Linked DNA regions of Lytechinus pictus. The protein of the gene in region 3 purifies or fractionates together with the protein of the main gene of each other region. This does not show direct contact. Links are inferred from orthologs where the notes say so. Each region holds a gene or a part of one and is shown on either strand. Other genes may lie near its edges.

What was found.
Region 1: the proteins of SERPINE1 mRNA-binding protein 1-like (region 3) and transitional endoplasmic reticulum ATPase-like purify together in Homo sapiens (affinity purification with mass spectrometry; 3 studies listed by BioGRID). This does not show direct contact. The link is inferred for Lytechinus pictus from reciprocal best matches to the Homo sapiens genes SERBP1 and VCP.
Region 2: the proteins of SERPINE1 mRNA-binding protein 1-like (region 3) and la-related protein 7-like purify together in Homo sapiens (affinity purification with mass spectrometry; 3 studies listed by BioGRID). This does not show direct contact. The link is inferred for Lytechinus pictus from reciprocal best matches to the Homo sapiens genes SERBP1 and LARP7.

What each region holds. Positions count from the first base shown.
Region 1 is NC_087255.1:27,478,670-27,482,269, reverse strand, and holds the start of transitional endoplasmic reticulum ATPase-like, read left to right. Parts: upstream 1-925; 5' UTR 926-1,076; coding exon 1,077-1,093; intron 1,094-3,600. UniProt on the Homo sapiens protein: Necessary for the fragmentation of Golgi stacks during mitosis and for their reassembly after mitosis. Involved in the formation of the transitional endoplasmic reticulum (tER).
Region 2 is NC_087262.1:10,072,997-10,081,756, reverse strand, and holds the start of la-related protein 7-like, read right to left. Parts: upstream 5,987-8,760; 5' UTR 5,856-5,986; intron 3,777-5,855; 5' UTR 3,776-3,776; coding exon 3,586-3,775; intron 2,648-3,585; coding exon 2,463-2,647; intron 1-2,462. UniProt on the Homo sapiens protein: RNA-binding protein that specifically binds distinct small nuclear RNA (snRNAs) and regulates their processing and function.
Region 3 is NC_087255.1:23,542,011-23,550,770, forward strand, and holds the start of SERPINE1 mRNA-binding protein 1-like, read right to left. Parts: upstream 4,727-8,760; 5' UTR 3,645-4,726; coding exon 3,437-3,644; intron 1-3,436. Other genes in the region: zinc finger protein 367-like, read left to right, coding at 4,727-5,099, 6,654-6,773, 7,640-7,784. UniProt on the Homo sapiens protein: Ribosome-binding protein that promotes ribosome hibernation, a process during which ribosomes are stabilized in an inactive state and preserved from proteasomal degradation.

The DNA.
Region 1 (3,600 bases), about 3.9 Mb from region 3:
TTTCTTCATTTTCCAAATTAGCTAAAGTTCATTTCCCGATTTTCTTTATCTTTTAATTTATTTCCCTTTCTTATCAATCATGCTAATGCATAGTATTTCGGGATGATTGTTTCTTTCTTACAATACATGTTCTTCTTTCCTTCCTTTTCCCGCTTTCCTTCCGTTTTCTCTTTTCATGCTTTTTTTTTCAGGCATAGGATCCCTGCTGGCCTCCGCCACGTACCTCCGACTTTTGGCTTACCTAATGGCAACCATAATTGCCAGATCTTTAAAAAAAACAACAACAAATTTATAAGATTAAAAAAAATACTGTTTTTAAAAGCTTTTTCATTTCTCCTTTATTTTTTTCCTTTCCCCTTTTCTCCCCCTCCCACCCGTACCTTTACTTTTTGTCTTCTTTTCATACCAGTTAGTCTCATACCATAGAGATGTATACTAGTATACATCTCTATGTCTCATACACGGAAAAATTATTTCCGTGGTCTCATAGGAATGACGCAATCTTTATTTCTAGAAATTCAAGCATAGTCTGCTAGCAAGAGTAGACTTTTTTTTAAAGTAGAAACCAAAATAAGAGCACCCTATCTCTATAAAACCGTCACCATTCTTATCGATCTATCCATATTTTCCTCTAGAAATACGATATACAGAAATATTTGTCAATATTTATTTTACAGCGCAAGAATGGTATTGTGCAATCGTTTAATATGACAAAGCTGGTTCGGCTTGGTTTTTTGTTTTCTTTCCCCACTCTGTAATAACTATTGTATTTGAAAATAAAAACGTATCGAATCATATTGTTTTGTATGTAATTTTGAATTTATTATATAAAATTTATCTATATTAATTTTTACATGATCGTGTAATCATCTAATTTTATATGACTGATTATTTGTAGTGCATTTATCTCTAAATCACTATAAATGTTCCGCTTGATTGCTCTCGGTATATATACACGTGTATTAGTTTGGTCCGTGAGTCTTGAAGATAAACTAATTATTTCATATGCAGCAAGTTTGCGATTTCACTGTGAAGACGAATGCACTTGCTGTTTTCTTGTTTAAATCATCAGAAATATGGCTGAAAATTCTCAGTAAGAATTTCATATCTTTATTTTGTTTAACTTTATGTATCGAAATCACGTGTGATGTATTTTGCTGCTCTCATGAATGAAGAGAATTTATTACTCGGATCTGGCTTTGTTCATATTCGGTCATCACACACATTTTCAATTTCACGAAGTCATTGTGCGTGTATGAGATGATGTGAGTGACCGGCGCGGCGAGCTTTTTACAGCTACCCACGTACACTACAGACTACACTCTACAGTACAGGCCAGTGCAGCGCCAGCCAACCAAAGTGCGTGTGTGTGTGGTTCACTGGTTGGAACTACCCCTTAATTATCGACCACCTAATTTTCTAAGCATCGTATCAGCGAAAATATTTCTCAGTTTTTACCTAGTTTTCGTCTCAATTGTGCAGAAAATTTAGGAGATCAGATTCCCATGTTTCGTCTTTCGATTGACGATCCGATTCAATTCGCGTATGGTCGGGGGTCCTAAAGCTGCGCGGGTCCTAAAGCTACGCACCACTCATAGCGCATGCAGTTTTTTATGGCAAATGCGCACTCTGTGTGTGGAACTGTGACTGCAGAGTGACGAACGATTCCTAATCAATTTTTTTCTACAGAGGTTGCAGTAAATCTCTAAATGCAGAGAAAACAAACAACTATTTGGATTTTTGGAGTTATATTCGCTTTAATTTCATTTTATCCTATAATAATGTGAATATATTTTAGAAATTGAGGCACAGGAAATACTTTTTTTTTGCATGATAAATCGAGTGCGTAGCTTTAGGACCCCTTCTACATCGGGCGGCGAAATCAAGAGGTGTTCGGAAAACACGGCGGGATTTTCGTGTTAGTGAGTTTAGCGATATTTTCTTCTTGGTTAATGATCTTTATAATGTTTGCCACAAATTAGTGAAAGATAATTTGTTGAAATATTAAAATTGGGATATTTTTTGTTGTTTGAAAACAAAGTGCGTAGCTTTAGGTCCCCCCATCATATATGGTATATCGGCAAAAAACTAAGTAATAATACGACGATTTTACATTTGCTCATTTGCACCCTTCTTTTAAAACCGACCACCCGGGATACACTAACCGTTCAAGTTTACGGCCGATTCTTGTCGCGGCGGCGCGGCGAAATATTTGGACTCTTCCAAATCAGTAATGTCAAAAATGATCCTCTCACTACCGTACTGGTACTTCCACTGCGAGCTCTGGCACATGATTCGAAGATTGACGACGGATTTGTTCTAAAGCCGTTTCCTATCGGATTTCTTGGTATGAACAACTGTTTTTCAGCGGGGTTCGGGTCTAGTCAAAACAATTTTGATAAATTCTACTAAATTTCTACCCCCTTTCGTTTTCTCTCGTAAAATCGATTTTTACTGTTCCTATGGACACTGCGCCTACTCTCCCGCGTGCATCGTTTGTAATGTGCAATGATTTTAATGCGCGCAAGGTGGTCGGTTTCAAAAGAGGTGGTGATGGTCTCACTATAACGTTAGGCCTATCTGGTAACTGAATGTAGATCTACGTCATCTAGTACCTCGGTCACATTTGCTCTACGGCGGCCGTACGGCGAGTCGAAAACAGCCGTTTTAAATTTTTTTTGTACCAGCTACATATAGGTGGTTTGAAATAAAATTAATAAAACGGCCGTATTCGACTCGCCGTACGGCCGCTGTAGAGCAAATGTGACCGATGTGTTACGTGGTCATGACTAGCCAGGAGGCTCCTAGAGAGTAAAAATCATTTACTAACGTATGCTTACTCTCAACGGAGCCAGGAATTTCTTCCCATTCATCTGCGTGTACCGCAAAAAAACCCTGAAACTTTCGCCCCCGAGATTTCTACTTTCCTTCCAAAAGATCTAGCCCTTAATCATGTACATGGGATACAACTTCATTTCCGACATTTCTACGATATCGATTTCATTTTTAAACAAGAATTAATTCAAAAAAATATTATGAAAAGACGGGAAAAACTTGCCACCGTGTTTACGTCGCCATCTTGATTTCACTGTCTTTTGCGTGGCGACAGCACGCAAACCGCGCGGAGGAGCAAGTTAATGAGTTTTCATAACTAGATCTATTTTTTAGTCCAGTTGTGATCGATGCAAAATGGGATGAGAGATGCCTGTGTGTGATGGTGCAATAGTTCATCTAATTTTTAAGTTTGACAATGTTTCACTTTGAGACTTATTCATTTCTAAAATATTATAGTTTTTCGAAATCTTTAAAATATATTTAAAAAAAACCAAATATCATTAAGATTTTTATTTGATTGGATTTTTTTTTTTTGCTTGTAGTTTGAACCTTTTCCCTTTCTTTCTTTCTTTCTTTCTTTTGTTCTTTCATCTTTTTTTTCTATCCTTTCTTCATCTTTCTATCATTCCTACTAATTTACCTGGCTTTTTTTGTTCCATCTATTATATTTCCAATCTTTCATAGCTTTCTTTCCTGATCCTTTCTCTTCATTTTTCTTTCATTCCTTCTTTCTCTTACTTTCCTTTTTTTTCCCCCTTTTTTGTT
Region 2 (8,760 bases), on a different chromosome or scaffold from region 3:
ATTTGACAAATAAATACAATTATCATGGCAACAATGACCCTGCCCACATTTTGCCTGTGGGTACCAAATTTGATGAAAATAATACGATGCAGCAGCGTGACTCTGCTGAATCTTAGGTATTGTCCAGTAGCACCTGTTGGGGAATACAATTACATAGTAATCTGGATATATTTTGTAAACCTAACCCTAAGACCTCCCCCCCTCAAAAATTATACGCATCTTCGCTTTACCTTCTAATGTTGCTTCTGTGTGCCAACTGCTATGACAAACTTTCTATATGGGAACAGCATGGTATAATGATACATGTACCTTGGAATGAAGTAAGCATGATACATTGGATTTTCAAAGTTATTGGTAACACTCACTCACCATGGCAATAAAGACCCCCTCCCCCACCACCTAAATGATAGGCATCTTTGCTTTACCTTCTAATATTGCTTCTTTGTGCCAACTGTTCTCACAAGGACATCTCTGCTATGTCCACAAAAACTCTTGTTACCATGGCATTGATGTCTCCACCCACACCAAAATCGATAGGCGGCTTTGCTTTATAATAATGGACCGTCATGCCACATTTGAAGATGATCGGAGAAGAAATGCAGCTCATAGAGCGCTAACAAAGACATATCTCTGCAATTCCACAAATACTCTTGTTACCATGGCAATGATATCTCTGCCCACACCAAAATCAATAGGCAGCTTTGCTTTATCATAATGGACCTTCATGCCACATTTGAAGATGATCGGAAAAGAAATGCAGCTGGTAGAGCGCTCACATGGACATCTCTGCTATTTCCAAAAAAACCTGTTACCATGGCAACGATGTCTCTGCCCACACCAAAATCAATAGGCGGCTTTGCTTTACAATAATGGACCGTCATGCCACATTTGAAGATGATCGGAAAAGAAATGCAGCTGGTAGAGCGCTCACATGGACATCTCTGCTATTTCCAAAAAAACCTGTTACCATGGCAACGATGTCTCTGCCCACACCAAAATCAATAGGCGGCTTTGCTTTATAATAATGGACCTTCATGCCACATTTGAAGATGATCGGAGAAGAAATGCAGCTGGTAGAGCGCTCACATGGACATCTCTGCTATTTCCACAAAAACCTGTTACCATGGCAACGATGTCTCCGCCCACACCAAAATCGATAGGCGGCTTTGCTTTACCATAATGGACCTTCATGCCACATTTGAAGATGATAGGAGAAGAAATGCAGCTGGTAGAGTGCTCACATGGACATCTCTGCTATTTCCACAAAAACCTGTTACCATGGCAATGATGTCTCCGCCCACACCAAAATCAATAGGCGGCTTCGCTATACCATACTCGACCTTGATGCCAAATAATCGGAGAAGAAATTAAGCTGATAGAGCGCTCACAAGATATCTCTGCGGCGGCGGACGTGGCTTGAGAGGCCAAATCCATCCTTCGAACTCTGTTCGGGGATACAATTATACATGTATGGGGCAGAAAAAAGTTAAAGGGCAACACCTTTTACACTCGACATCCATGCAATATTTTTTTCTAAACTGTTCGCTGACAAGATCTGAACAACTTGGTTTAAACGGGGTAAAGAAACATCTATTCATACATCATAATCAAGTAATGCCCCATCTCTACCCCAACAGGGCAACATCAGAGGACAAATCAGTCACAGAGCACTAGCAATGATTAGGATCATACTTTAATCCAGAGGTGCTGTTCACTTCACGAGTACCCATGCTCCCCTCCCCAATCCCTACGAAAACTGGAAAAAACATACCCTGATAGCAGAGTTAAAACTCACCACATATACGGTGCAGTCACCAGGATCATACTTGGGCGACTCCAGTGGGAGCCCAAGTAGCCCTCCCCAAGCCTGGTTTATTCCCAATTCGTCTAATGCCAATTCGTCCAATTGCCAAATCGTCTACTACCATTTGGTCTATCATCAGATCGTCTACTCACCACATGGTCTACTTTCATTTAGTCTAATGCCATTCCGTCTAATAACCAGTTGGTCCAATAACCATTTAATCCATATACCACTGGTCTAATTAAACTTAAGTGATAATTGTGCAAATTAATGAAAAGAAAATGGGTATTAATTTTAGACCAACTGGTTGTTAGACCAAATGGCAATAGACGAACTGGTGATTAAACGAAGTGATGATTGGACCAAATGGTTATTGGACCGAATGGTTGTTAGACGAAATGTTGATGGACGGAATGGCATTAGACTAAATGAAGGTAGACCATGTGGTGATGGACGAGTTGGCAGTGGACGAATTGGCAATTTACCCCCAGCCCTCTATAACAGAGTGAAAATTCATCCCATATGCAGTGCATTCATCAGGACTGTACTTTGGTGGCCCCAGATGTGCTGTCTGCTTCACAAAAAGTGTTTAGTCCCCCCCCCCCCTCCCCTTACCACTACAAAACATGGAAAATACCCTAACAGAGTGAACACTTACTACATATACAGTGCAGTCATCGGGATCGTACTTGGGCGGCTCCAGAGGTGCTGTCCGCTTTACAAAGAGCTGATCATCACTGAGCTTGAGGATTTTTGAAAGCTGAATGGCAGAGACAACCTCCTTCCTATCTTCAGTCATGGATAACATCTTGTTGAAATTGGCTATGGTCTCCACGCTAACATCTAAAGATTGAAGAGAAAAGTGAAAAACAACTTTGAAATGATAATCATCTATTCTGTCACCTACAGTTGGGCTTAAAAGGTAATAAACCCACCACAAAATGCACTCCTCCATGCTGAGTGTTGAATGTAGATAACACTATGATGTTCAACGAGCCCAGATAAACAATCTTTAATGAATGCAATATTTTAACACCTGGTTTCACAATTAAATGGCAGAACTTGAACACTTTAAATATGTTCTGGGGCCCGTAACACAAAGCTTAGCAATGATCGTAGAACATTTTTCTACGATTGATTGCATTGACTACAATGTACAATCAATCGTGAAAATCAAGTGTACGATTAATCGCTAACCTTTGTGTTACGGGACCCAGGTGGGGTTCACTAACTTTTGAGCACCACTGTGTAACCGGGGAAGTAGTCAATGCTGGTGCTTCCGAGTCATGAGGTCGCTGTGCACAGAGAACCTTTTCCCATAGACTTTGAACATGTGACTCGGGGCGAGTGCCGGTCTTGACTACATCCCAGCCTATAACCCAATACATTGCAGTGGATTTAATGACAAATTCCTGTTTGCCCTAAAACATTTATGATGTGACGGAGAGGAAAGGAAATTGTGCTTTACAGGATAAATTTTACAATTCTACATTAAATCCAAATAAAAAACCTGCATTTTTATTCTTTGAGAATAAAAAGATACAATCTTTATTTGAAAAAATGCTCAAGCTTTTTTTTTTAAAGAAAAATAAAAACACAGCGAGAGAGGGCATCAGATATCTGAGAAAGGAATGCTTGAAATTCCAGAGAGAATCAATGGTTGAAAAAAAATCAATGGCTAAGTACACTTCTGTAAGATTGACATGTCAAATGGACGACAATGGTCAGTTGTAACCCTAACCAAACGTTTGAGCCAGCTTTAAAACTGACCACAGACTTACATCCATCTTTATTTTTAGACATTTCTTGCTTCAGGAATCGATCTTTCCTCAAATTGGCATCGCTGAAGTAAAACTCGATCTGCTGACTGACATCAAGTATGATTTTCTTATGGCGCTTTCTCCTCCGCTTCTCCATCGAGGCATCTCCAAGCGACGAGTTGTCTTTTGCTTCTGCTTTATCTGCTTTCATCCTGCAGATATGGTACAGATGAAGAAAAAAAATTAGAACTTAAAGCCCAAACTAACAGAGAGGTAACATGTTCAACTGCCATCAAATATCTAGGAATAGTGTTAGGGCGACATTTTATTGGAGCTGTTTTTGGTTCTTATTTTCACAAATATTTAAAACAATCATCTTTCTATCAGAGGGCATGGGTTTGAATCCCAGCCATGGCGTGTTTTCCTTCAGCAAGAAATTTACCTACATTGTGCTGCACTCAACCCAGGTGAGGTGAGGCACCAGGCAGGTTTATGCCCTTGAAAGCAGAGTGCTGCAAGGTACATGTAGCTCGGGCTAAAGCTGGGGTAATAATTTATAATAATAATAGTGCACCTCGAAATGGATTATTTCTAGATAGATGGCGCTATACAAATGCCTATTATTATTGGTAGTAAAACACTAAAACTAGTAATAATGTATCGCCCGGGTAATTTGTCAATTATTCATCAGGAATGATGATGATCCAGAGTGAGACTCAAAGAGTCAGACAGCCAGGCCCATATTCCAAACCTGGGTTTAACTAAAGTCTGAGCTAAATTTTTGTTGTATTCAGACGTGAAAGCAGGACATTAAATGAACACGCTGCATATCTTTAAAAAGAAACTAATTAAGTACCGAGTGTGAACTGAATTATTTCTTTCTTTAGACTTGAAAAAAAAAAACGAATTGTGCCTAGTAAGCATAGCGTGCAGGATATGATTAATGTGAGCGAGAGCATTTTTATAAGCAGAATTTATTTTGGCATGTGACCCAACAGGATTGCTAAATATGCCAAACCCCTCCTCTCACTTTCTTTACCACTCTTCCTCCTTTCAATTTTTCTTCCTAATTCTTTTATCGATTCCTTCCTTTTCTTGTCTCTCCCACTTTTTGGTTTTCTTTTTTCTTCTCCTTTTCTTTTTTTTTTCTCCTGTCTTTTGTGCCACCAATTATGTGTAGGCCTCTTGGGTCAGAGCTCTTATCTCTTTCTATTTCCCTTCATTTATTAGGCATAAATATATATATATTTTTTTTTTTTTGGGGGGGGAATGGGGAAGTATATAAAGGAAGCAAAGGTTGTTAGGCTCATATTCCACGTCCTGGACGATTTTTAATGATTGTGCAAACCCTTTGCATCTATCTAGACCCGCACGCACACATTTACCAACACACATGACACACTCCAACGATTCACGTACCACCAGTGATTCACCTAACCCACTGATTCACTTTCCGCGAAAAAATGTGACTATTCAGGGCGTGTGTATGTGTGTTATGGGATTGGTAGTGTGTTATGTGTTTGGTAGTTGCATACATACAAAATATAAAACATTCCAGGAGGTGGACTATTAGGCTCATAGATTCGTATTTTTTCAATGTTTTTTTTTTTAGGGGGAGGGGAAGGACCGAGGCTCCCTCCCCTGGCTCCACTTCAGCTTCAATCCCTGGCTAATTATGGCCAAACAAAAGGACCAGTCCAGTAGCGTACGTCAGCCCCCCCCCCCCCCCCCATTTGGTATTTTTAAACCCAAAACTCCCCTGAAAGAAATCAATTTTTTGCTTGTCAATTTTTTTGGGGGTAAAAATTTCCTACCCAAAAAAAATTGACAAGCCAAACTTCCCAAAGACAAAGTCTTGAAAAAAAATGTTATTTTACTGTGGCTATATTTAAAGGAAACGACCTAAAATTTTGGGGTCGTCAACATTTCATTCGGCTTGAACCCCCCCTTTCAAAAATCCTGCATACGCTACTGGGCGAGTCATTATTTCCGCTATCATGAAATTTGTCACCAGTCCCCGACGTTCATTTTCAGATTCACTGCTTCAGCCTTCGGCTTCACTTCAGATCACTGACTTCATTATCATTAGTGCATGCTACTGACAGCTTTCCATAATTCCATTCCCATAGACTTTGTACAGAAACGAACGCTGAACGATTAGCCAGCGCCAGCTCAGCAGGCCAAGCAAGGCGACAATAAGTTCAAAACAAATGTAAATAGTGTCCGACTTTCCATCACCCACACGACAAGATTACCGTATGGAAGTTTCTTACCTAAATGATTGTACTTACTTTTAGAATACAGCAACAAAATACACGTAGTATATGTCTAGGAGCTAGTATTTAGATGAAATTTGAGACAAACGCCGTGTTCACGCAAGATTTTCTTTTACAGCTTTTAAGTATGGAACGCTATTTATTACGTTCGTAAACGTAACACCACTTCGTTACTTTGTTGGGAGTTTGAAATTTATCCCGAATTTATCATACACGAGGCCGAGGGGGTGTTGTTTTCTTGAGCTTGCAATGATGGGGCCCCCATGGGGGGCAAGCACGGCGAAATCATTTCTTTATGGGGGGGGGCAAACCTCCCAGGAGGCCCATCGATTGGGTCCTTTGGGGGAAGTGACCAAGTGACAGGTTACTATAAATAGGAAAGACCGGGGACATGCAGAATAATCAACTTTACTAAATACTTGCTTCAACTTGAATAAAATGAAATATGCATATCTAATTGGCTTGGCATATATCTTATATGGATAAATTTGGGTTAACTAATCTAGAAGCTAGCTGTTATCCGGGACTGTTATATCATTTCTCAATTCACAATTGCCCCACACGGCCGGGGTATAGGCCTTATAGTAACATCTAAATCATTTCTGTCAAATGATTTTGTTACCAAATCGTTACTGTCGGTTTATTTTGTAACAAAATCATTGCAGTCGTTTGATTTTGTATCAAAATCCGGGGGGGGGGGCACTTCCACTTAACAATTAAGTATTGGAAACAAAACGATACTCTTGGCAAGTATTCCCTGAATTGGATCCCTAAACAAGTACCGCAGCGATAGTTCTGTTTTATACCTAATTTACCTGACATCGTTGGGTTTAATTAGTTCAGCACCACCTGCCACATACCCACTAGCGTACCTATGGGGGGGGGCAGGGGGGGCACTCTGCCCCCCCCCCCCCCTGACGAGTCAAAACCCATGCAAAAACGTATCTTTGCCCTGACGGGCTTGTATAACCTTTTTTGCCCCCCCCCCTGACGAGCTTTAAGACCTTCAATGCCCCCCTGACGAGCTTGAAGACCTTTTTTTTTTTTTTTTTTTTTTTTTTTTTGCTTGTCAATATTTTTCTGGTACGAAATCCTTTATTTGTGATCGAAGACCCTTTTTTTTTTTTTTTCAAATTTTTTGGCGGACGGTTTTGCCCCCCCCCTGTGGAAAATCCTAGGTACGCCACTGCACGTACCTCCCCCACATCTCGCGCAAATCATACTCTAAACAAGTAGAGTTGACCCTTGGGGCATTATAAAACATTTTAGTCTTCATTTTTGTACCCTCGCAAATTTGACCCTAACACGTGCGTAGCTTTCCTATAGCGAAAATAGATAACCTAATTTTAGTGTTTTTGACACCCTTAATACGTTACGTCCGTAACGTGCCCTATCTTGAAAAAGACATCCTTTTTACGTGTTTTTTTGGTCGCGCATGGTATCCACTCGTGAATAAGTGCCCCCCCGGGCCCCCCGGGACCAAAACGATTTGGAGAGTGTTTTTGTTACAAAATCATGCATTTATTTTAACAGAATAGGCCTACTAATTTACACTTGTATATCCCACATGATGTGCACCTCTTAATATTACTCGCCATGAATTGCCTCGTCACACACACAAAAAAAGTAAAAATTTGCCGGGAAAATTAGCTTCTGAAAAAAAAAGAACTACTACTGCCCAGTAAGATTTGGTGTGCCCCCACTGAAAAAAATTGGCAGAGCAAGAAAAAGGGAGAAAGAAGAAAAGAAAAAGAAGGGGGAAGAAAGAAGAAGAGGGAAGAAAGAAGAAGAGGAAAATAAGAGGAGGAAGACGAGTGAATAAAATAATGGGAAGACAAAAGAAAAAAAAAATTCATGTTGCTTCGCGCTCGGATTGCCTTTTCGATGAGAATCATGTCTTGCTAAAAAGGGTGATATGGAGTCCCAGGACCAAAATCCAATTGAAACCAGTTGGATTTCCAACTGGTTTCAATTGGTTTCAATTGGTTTTAACTGGTTTCAATTGGTTTTAACTAGAATTTAACAATTTCCAGTTGAAACCAATTGAAACCAGTTGGGCAACTGGAAATCCTAACTGGAACCAGTTGGGTAACTGGAAATGATTTTTAACTGGAACCAGTTGAGTAACTGGAAATCCCAACTGGAACCAGTTGGGCAACTGGAAATCCTAACTGGAACCAGTTGGGTAACTGGAAATCCTAACTGGAACCAGTTGGGTAACTGGAAATGACTTCCAACTGGAAATGATTTCTAACTGGAACCAGTTGGGTAACTGGAAATCCTAACTTGAACCATGCAGTTGTTTAACTGGAAATCCTAACTGGTACCAATTGGGTAACTGGAGATGACTTCTAACAGGAAAGATGGGTAACTGGAAATGAATTCTAATTGGAACCAGTTGGGTAACTGGAAATGATTTCCAATTGGAAACCAATTGGAAATCATTTCCAGTTACCCAACTGGATCCAATTGAAACCAGTTAATTTGCATATTATCTGCCAGTGTGCACAGATTAATGTTTTATGAGATTCATCATCATTAACAATGTATCTATTTAATTCTTTTCAATTTCAAGTACCACATTTTTTAAAGATAAGTATTTAAAATACTTAGCAGTGAAAACCATGTTCATAAATGTCATAGATTATAATTAAAACAGATTAAAGGATAATTAGTACACCACTAACTGTTACCAAATTACATCAAATAAAAATACATATATTTGAAGATCTTCCATATAAATATATACATATATGAAAGTCTGTATTTTATCAATGCCCTTTACATTGGTATTAATAGACATATAACACTGCTTCTGTGTTGGCATGAGCAATAGTTAGTGCAAATGCTAATTCATTTGTAACTAATTAAGTTCATTCCAACTGGAAGTTCCTATTGGATCCAGTTGGAAACCAATTGG
Region 3 (8,760 bases):
ATTGTTTTTGTACCAGCTTCATATTGGTGGTTTATCCATGTATAAAAATGAATAAAAATGCTGTTTTCGACTCGCCGTGCGGCAAATGTGACCGAGGTACGAGTCTGTCATAGACATGAAAAACAATGGTTGACAGAACCAAAACACGCATTCAGAAAATTAAATCACAATTTCAAAAGATGTAGAAAGTATGGGGTAAATTTATTGATCAATATGTGAATAAATCTGGCTTTAAGTAACTTCGTTGGACTTTATATCAATCCTTTCCAGTTTTCCATTAAAAGATGTTCTTTAAATGTTGACGTCCTTAGTATAGTAGTCACATTTGCTCTACGGCGGTCGTACGGCGAGTCGAAAACGGCCGTTTTATTCATTTTTATTCAAACCATGTATATGTACACTGGTACAAAATAATGTTAAACTGCTGTTTTCGACTTGCCGTACGGCCGCCGTAGGGGAAATGTGACTGGGGTATTATAGTGACATATAAAAATAATAAAGTTGATGCAGTTGCAAATTGTTAAATCTTTATTAAAAGAAATCATGATATAGGGGTTGGCTTACTCTTTACAGTTTGGCTTTAATTTATTTTTGATGATTTTCATTATACTTTTCATGAACAGTGTTTTACATGTATTCCGTGAAAGTGAATGTCATTCCAGAATTCCATGTTTTTTGTATAATTCATACTGAACTGGAAACTCTTATTGAAGGCAAATTTAATGCATAAGAATTTATTGAGCATATATATATATATATATATATATAATTTATATTTATATGTTAAGAATAATTCAAACAATGCTGTTTACTGTGTGAATCCCATAGTAGTTTAAACAGTTTAAACAAGTGTTCAAAATCTTAAACAACCATGCTTTATTTATTGATGATTAAATATTAGAGTTTAAACTTTGTTGTTTATAAAGTTCTTAAACACTTGTTTAAAATGTTTAAACTACTATGCAATTCACATATTAAACATTGTTTGAATTATTTTCAACAGTGAAACAACATAATACATAAATTAATTACAAATAAATCACAAGAACATTATGACCATATATACATAATAGCATTTTTACAGTGCATCATTGTTGACAGAATGGTTTTCGATCCTTCTCAGCATCATATTCATAATTTGTAAAGATTATTCACTTCTTCAATTTTAAGTAAAAATAAAGTTGAAAGATTATCTCATATAAAAATAAAATTGTTTTTATATCCGAATATCGTCGTCTTGATTTAGTGATCCCCAAATCCTTCACCTTCTTGAGCAGTTGTAAAATGCGATGTGAACTTGTAGCTCTCGACCTTTGTCCTTTGGGTCTTGTGAAATACAGTCTTTCAATCAGTGTCAGTCATCTTCGGATTATGCTGTAGATTATACAATGAAAATAGACCATAGTTTGAACTTTTGAGTTTGATTTATTGCTGTCATAATTGGTAATTCAAAGATAAAAAAAATTGATAAGAAAAAGAACAGGGCAGGAAAATATTTGATTTTTGCAAAAAAAAAATACTGAAGGAAACAAAATCAAAATCAATCTCCATCCATATCAATTTGGTACACATCCGCACTTCAGTGATTATAATTTGCATTATTTTTCAATTTAATTTCCTGTATTTCTGTAGGGTCTATAATTATTGATATTATCATAGAGCTATAGCTCTATGATATTATCATGTCTCAACAATTCCATTGATTGTCCCTGGCTTTACCGAAAAAAAAAAATCAGTGTCCAGTTTTAAAAGTAAAATCAGTATCACGAAAGTCCCAACAAATAAAATGCCCAAACTTATATTCCTAAAATACTACGAGTATGATATTCGCCATTCCATTAATACAAGCAGAGCTTCAATTTCAGAGCCATACACAACAACAGGTGCAGCTGCCATTCATTACATACACGCCCCAAGGCCGCATGGCCGAGCTCACACACATTCCACAGCCATTCACGAACCATGCACGAACAACCGAGCGAAGCCCGATCACAACACAACGTACGCCATGCTTTATATACACCATTGCGGACTAAGCACAAACACCACCGCAAAACAGTTCACAAAATAAACCTCGGTGTAGACGGTTTTCCGTATGTCGCTCTGTACCAATACATGTCGCTCACATACACTTTGCACACATTGACACACAGTAAACAACGAACACAGTCGTGCGATTTTCACTTCTCGACGGTAAATATCTTCAAAAATATGACTTACCAAATGACGAGAAGTCCGCAAAATATCATCAGATTTTCCGAGGTAATGTAGCTACACCGTATGAAGAAAATGAGATTTTCAACTCGAAATCTTGAAGGAAATACGTCGTGTTTAGTATGAGGTTGATCGGTGGTTCGCAGAGAAACTTCTCGCACTACATAGGTTTTGTATTATGGGAAAATATGCAAATGAGAGCCAAAACACCCAATGAGATCACAGCTCAAGATTTGTGAATGAAACATGACGTCACGCACTACGCTGGCGATCGAACGAGCGTATCGCGCATGCGCGGGTTTCCTGTACAATTCTTCTTTGTGGTCTGTTGCCGTGGTTATCCACGCTATTTTATTCATGAGTCCACTCTTCAAACAGTGGACTCATGAATAAAATAGCGTATCTAACCATGGTAACAGGCGTCAATTTGGCACACTGTGACAAAAGCGCGCATCAGCATTGGACATTTTTTAAACACACGCCTGATACGTGCGAAATTAAGCGTAATTTAAATCTGCATGAACCATGGATTCAACCATTGGTTTTCAAAACCACCTTTGTGAATTCGGGCCTATATTTTGATGAAATAAAGACAAAAACCGATGAGCCCCGTCGGGGGATTTTGCATTAACCCCTAATGGCGCTGCACGATCGCGAGCTGTCCGTGTACGAGGAGGAATACATGTAAAAACAAACTCCTTGAAACAAATGGCTGCCAGCTGTAGTCCCTGCTGCCTGGGCCTGGTCAAATTAGCTGAACCGACAGTCGGACTGAAGTTGGCATCCATTTTTCTTTTCCATGTGGAATTGGAAATTAAATTCATTCATAAAAATCATGGCTTCATGCCCCTCATTTATTACCAAACAAATTTTTTTAATTTCAAAATCAACCCTTACTTAACAGTACTTCTTTCCACAATACCCTGGAGTCTAAAGTTAGACCTTTATATTCAATTGCTAAATAGTAAACGCAATGTCAATGTCAATGACTGCAATATCCCGTAGTCCGTACATCACGTGCGGCATGAACATGTATGAAAAGCATGCCGGGTTAGGGTGGTGGTGCACGGAGCATGGAGAAAATTTATTTTTAGGCCCCACGAACATAATTTTACAAGATGTTTTAAAACCTACATATTGAATGGGGGAGGTAACAAAATACTACCTTAGACACATCATAAATCATACATTTCATTTCTAAGAAAAAAGGAAGCTTTCATACCTTCTTTCCTCGATTTTTGCTCAGGTTCTGGGGCCTTTTTGGCTGGTTCTGGTTTCTTCGCAGGCTTTGGCTGTTTGGGTTTGCTGCTTTTCTCCTTCTTCTCCTTCATTCGTTGTTCCTTTTCAGCAAAGATATCCTGTGGATCGGACACCGTATCCATGTCCAAAAGGAAACGGTTACTTACTCCTATAGTGTAAGTAACCTCCATTGTGATAAAATCCTTCGTTCTATGAAGGATTAGAAAGATATTTAACGCTATAAAATGCGTTCTCTCAATGAAACCCCCGTCATTAAAAATGGCGATAAAACTGTACACAAAGTGAATAGGAAGCACGCGCGGAAAAATAGCTATGCAATGTTTACATCGAACGAGAGCGAGGGCTCGGCGGCAGGCATGCTGCGCTGGAAGGATCCGTACTTCGAGCTTCCAGCCTGCGCTAGATTACGTACGTCATGCATATATGGTACGAGTTAGTACAGTAGCATATCATGCATGTTCGCGCGCTCTCGCTCTCTTGGACAAAACATTTAAAAGGGGTTCAAATCCCGGGGTTCAAATACGTTTATCTGATTCAGATCCCTTCTGATAATAATGAGGTATAAACCTGAGGTGAAAGAAAATCCTCATTAAGTTGTAAAAAAATCATACATTAAATATACATGTCCAAAATATGAATAATTCATTTCTAGCGACCATTATATACACCGAAATACCCCCCTTTACTTTTAGATTCGCCCGGTTTTATGAAAATCGGGAATCATAATCATATCAAGCGAGACTGCAAGAAAAATGTCCTGCAAATTTAAACTTTTTATCATTTTCGTCTAAGATAAGATCAATATCTTACACAGTAATCAAGGTAAATAATCCAGGCAAAAACAAATATTGCTTGTAGTACCGACAAGACAGCTGATAACACCAATTACCATATATGGAAGTTCAGGTTTTGTCTAAATCTTACTTTATCAGGGATCGACTTAAAAAGCTGACAAAAATATGCTTTTTTACAACATGAGATGAACGAAAAAAACTATATAAGTTTTTCATTATATGAAAAATGAGTGAATAATTCAATTCTTTCAATGTATAAAAAGAGAAAAGGGGGAGCAAACGAGTTATCTCTTTGCAAACAAAATTAAGTTGTTAGTTTGAGGCTATCCTTTAAAGAGCCCGCTTGAAAAAAACTCCCATAACACCTTGCACCGGAGCATTTTGTAGCGCCAAATTCGAGATCGGTTTGTTGTAAACGCGCGAGATCAAGAAGAGAACGGGACGACAGACAGCTGAAAATGGCTAACGTTTTGAAGAATTCGCCGTATAAGATCATGCCTAACACTGAAATTCGATCACCAGTTCGACCACCAAAATTATCGTTGACGCCTTTAAGTCCTGTGAGTCCTGGAATCTGCTACTTTTATCCCTGGAAATGGTCGGAGAGTGCAGGGAACGTCGAGCTCAGCCCATCTGCCAGCAGCAGTTCTTGCGGTGGCTCCCCGCCCGTCGAACGAGGGTCAAGTAGGGGGAGACCGAGGGCAGAGACGGTGGCAGAGTTGCAGAAGGCAGGGAGCAGTGAAATCCGTCGAGATGTCATTCAGTGTATTATTTGCGATCGGATCTTTCCCCGAGAAAAGTCATTAACAGCACACCTTCGAACGCATACAGGTAATTAATTGAAAGAGAGTGTCAAAGAATCATCATAAATGATAGGGCTCGCTTTGGTTTGGCTAAATTATAATAAAAATTTGGACATCAGATTCAGATGTCAATTTTGTCATCAGTTCTCATTTTCTCAGTCAGACATTTATTACTTGTATTTACAGTTAGAGAATAACGTAGTGTAGGCTATGCTAAACATTTTGATTTGTGTGAAAGATCATGTATTTTTTTGGGTGAAAACTGCTGAGCTGACCTAGTTACATAGTCATAATTATAAGTTAACCTTTTTTTTCTTATGAAATTATATGATAATGGAGGAAGAAAACAAGAAAGAAAGAGACAAGATTTATCTCTTTGAAAAGAAGTCTATTCGTGAGCTATATCATGACATGACTAAGTTCAAGTTTAGGCCGTCAGTATAAAAAAAATAAGACCTTGTCCTTGACGAAAGACGAAAGTCTATTTTGCTAACTGGGGCAGGGGCTAGCCTTGAGGACTTCGTGATGATATTTTTAAATATTTTGACATATACTTCTTCATCACGAAGCCTTGAAACCCCTTCCATAGGCATATAAGAGGACATGTAAACAAAGATGGATTTCCCTAGAAAATCCATCTTTGAAAATTGAAGATAGAAATAACGTAAATTTGTATCATTTTATTTATCTATACACCTTCATACGCCTAATCATATGCGTATGAAGGTGCAAAAATATGTTAATAAAAAGGTTAAAAACGAGAGGTTACATACCAGACCGATCTCGTGTAGATCCCTCGATCCATTTGTAAACAACGCAAATATAATAGGCTTAAGGCTTGACCCTTGAACCGCTTCGTCATTATGTACCTTCGATAAGCGATGTTACAAAATGTTGTTTTGAAGAACAATTTATAGATAAAAATTATTATTTAAAGGTCAAGTCCACCCCAGAAAAATGTTGATTTTAATCAATGGAGAAAAATCAAACAAGAATAACGTTGAAAATTTCATCAAAATCGGATGTAAAGTAAGAAAGTTATGACATTTTAAAGTTACATGTATGCTTATTTTTCACAAAACAGTTATATGCACAACTCGGCAACACACAAATGAGAGAGTCGATGATGTCCCTCACTCACTATTTCTTTTGTTTGAATTATACAATATTTCCATTTTTACAGATTTGACAATAATGACCAGCTTTACTGAACCATAAAATGTTAGAACAATTGTAATTCCCCATGTATACATGGAGGAAGAAAACTTGTTTCACCTTCCAATGAGGAGAAAATTAAAATATTTTATATATCATATAATAGAATACAAAAGAAATAGTGAGTGACGTCATCAGTCCCCTCATTTGCATACCAACCAGGATGTGCCTATAACTGTTTTGTGAAATTTACCAAAACTTTAAAATGTCATAACTTTCCTATTTTACATCTGATTTTGATGAAATTTTCAGTGTTATGCTTCTTGGATTGTTCTCTACTTGTTCAAATCAACTTTTTGTTGGGGTGGACTTGTCCTTTAACAAATTTTAACTTACACATTCTTTGTTTTTATCTTCTGGAAAACAGGAGAACGTCCATATAAGTGTGACTATCCAAACTGCAACCGAGCTTTTGTTCAGAGCGGTCAGTTGAAGACCCATCAGAGATTACATACAGGAGAGAAACCTTTCGCTTGCTCAGTTCCAGGTTAGTCTTGCTTGACCCAGTGGGTGTTCCTTAAAGCTGTTCATAAGTCAAGAGCAACTTTAAGAACGACTGGTGATCCTTTCTTGTGGTAAATAGTATACACCAAAATGTTCACTGGCGATGGTTTAGTGCGTAAGATAGGTTCACCAGTCGTTCTTAAAGTTGCTCTTATTTTACAAACGGCTTTATTAAACACCCCCCAGTATTGCCACAGAGAAAAGTTAGAATTAGCCAAGAGCTGCCCGGAAATATGTAGTTAAAATGAAGAAAAAATCCTCGATCCATGTTTGATCCATTCAGGTTTCTTGAATTCCTAGAAAAGCAAAAAAAAAAGGAGGTACTTACCAGCAGGATTGATTCAAATTCCAAATTATACTGAATCTAACTTTTTCAGATTGGATTTGGTTATATTCCAGTTTGTAACATCTTCAAAATGGGGATTTGTATGACTTAAGCAAGGAAAGAAGATTTGTAAATTAATAATGATGGAAAAATAGAACATTATTCCATCAAATAATGTATTTTTTTGTGCTTCTACTTATTTCTCCACAAGTTTTGCAATAATACTTAATTGCAAAATATCTCCACTGGTATACAAGTTTCTAACATTTGAATATAAGAGGTTTTGATGTACATACACATGTGTACTGTAATTCAAATATATTTTTTAAAAGGGATGAATTTAAATTGCTGAAGTAGCAAAATTTGTTTATGAAAAACTAAAAGGTGCAGTATGCCTAAAACTGAAAATTTCAGACAAAATGTAATTCATTTTAAAAAGAAAATAATTGAGGTTTAGCGTACCCAATATTTAGAATCCTGGACATAATTGCTAAGTGCCTTTAAATGTTTTTTGTTGTTGCCAGGTTGTCAATCCAGATTCACACATGCAAACAGACATTGTCCGGAGCATCCATATGCCGGCCTTCGTCGAGAGACAACCCAAGTACAGGTGGAAGAAGTCGTCAGGACCGATGAGAACAGTGAAGAAGTTGCCGAATGGTTACAGAGGTAAGTTAGAGAAGAGAACTTTAACGTCTCTAAAAAGCTGTTGCTCAGGGTCACTCCGTAACACTTTCATTGGCAACAGTAGCCTTGTGGTTTATCTCTTTATCTGAAATGATTAGCAAAAAAAAAAAAAAAAAAACCCTTGGTCAATTTGTATTTGTTGACTCCTTCCACCACTTAGCAATTCTGTCTGACACTTCAAGTAATATGAAGTCAGTCTATTAAACAGGGGCATACACTTCTCCCAGGCCAAATTAAAAAACTAGATTTTGCTGTGCAATGTCATTCTAAGGCCATGGTTGCAGATGTCCTTTTGATTAACCTCAAAGGTCAAGATCCCCTAATTGGCCAGAGATTTTTGTTGCCATTCAAATCTCTTTAATTTGTGCTATGACATTGGAGCATTCCCTTCAGAAAGTCTGGTCTTGCCCTGAGGACACTTTAGATTTAAGGCCTGTAATGGGAGAAATACGTAGTTGTACTTCATGAAAGTAGATCCTGTGATATTATTTCTGCAAGCAGAGTGGTTTTCCACCAATAGAAAATAACAGGTGCCCACACCTAACATCAGCACTATTGGTCATTCATTTGTTTCAGAGACCCCCAAAATATTATTGATACCTTTAGAATTTAAACAGTCTTTAGCTATCAGTATTGTCATTTCATATCCTATTGCTCCACATTCTGGTGAATTTAATATATATATATATATTTACTTTAGTATAGGACCTGTTTTTTGCTTTCATTTCCAAATTACCTTTATTATGGATCCGTATGATATTCATGCAGGTCATTTTGTTATATGCGTATTTGCCATTCTGGGTGCTATTTTTGTTCTGGTTTTGAAAGTTTATGACATTAATTTGTAGTGAGACTTCCTGTATACCATCCACTTGTACAAAAGAACCACCACTTTATTCTGAATGCTGACTAGTTGTAATTGAGTTATACCTACTTAAGCATGTATCATTCATGCAAC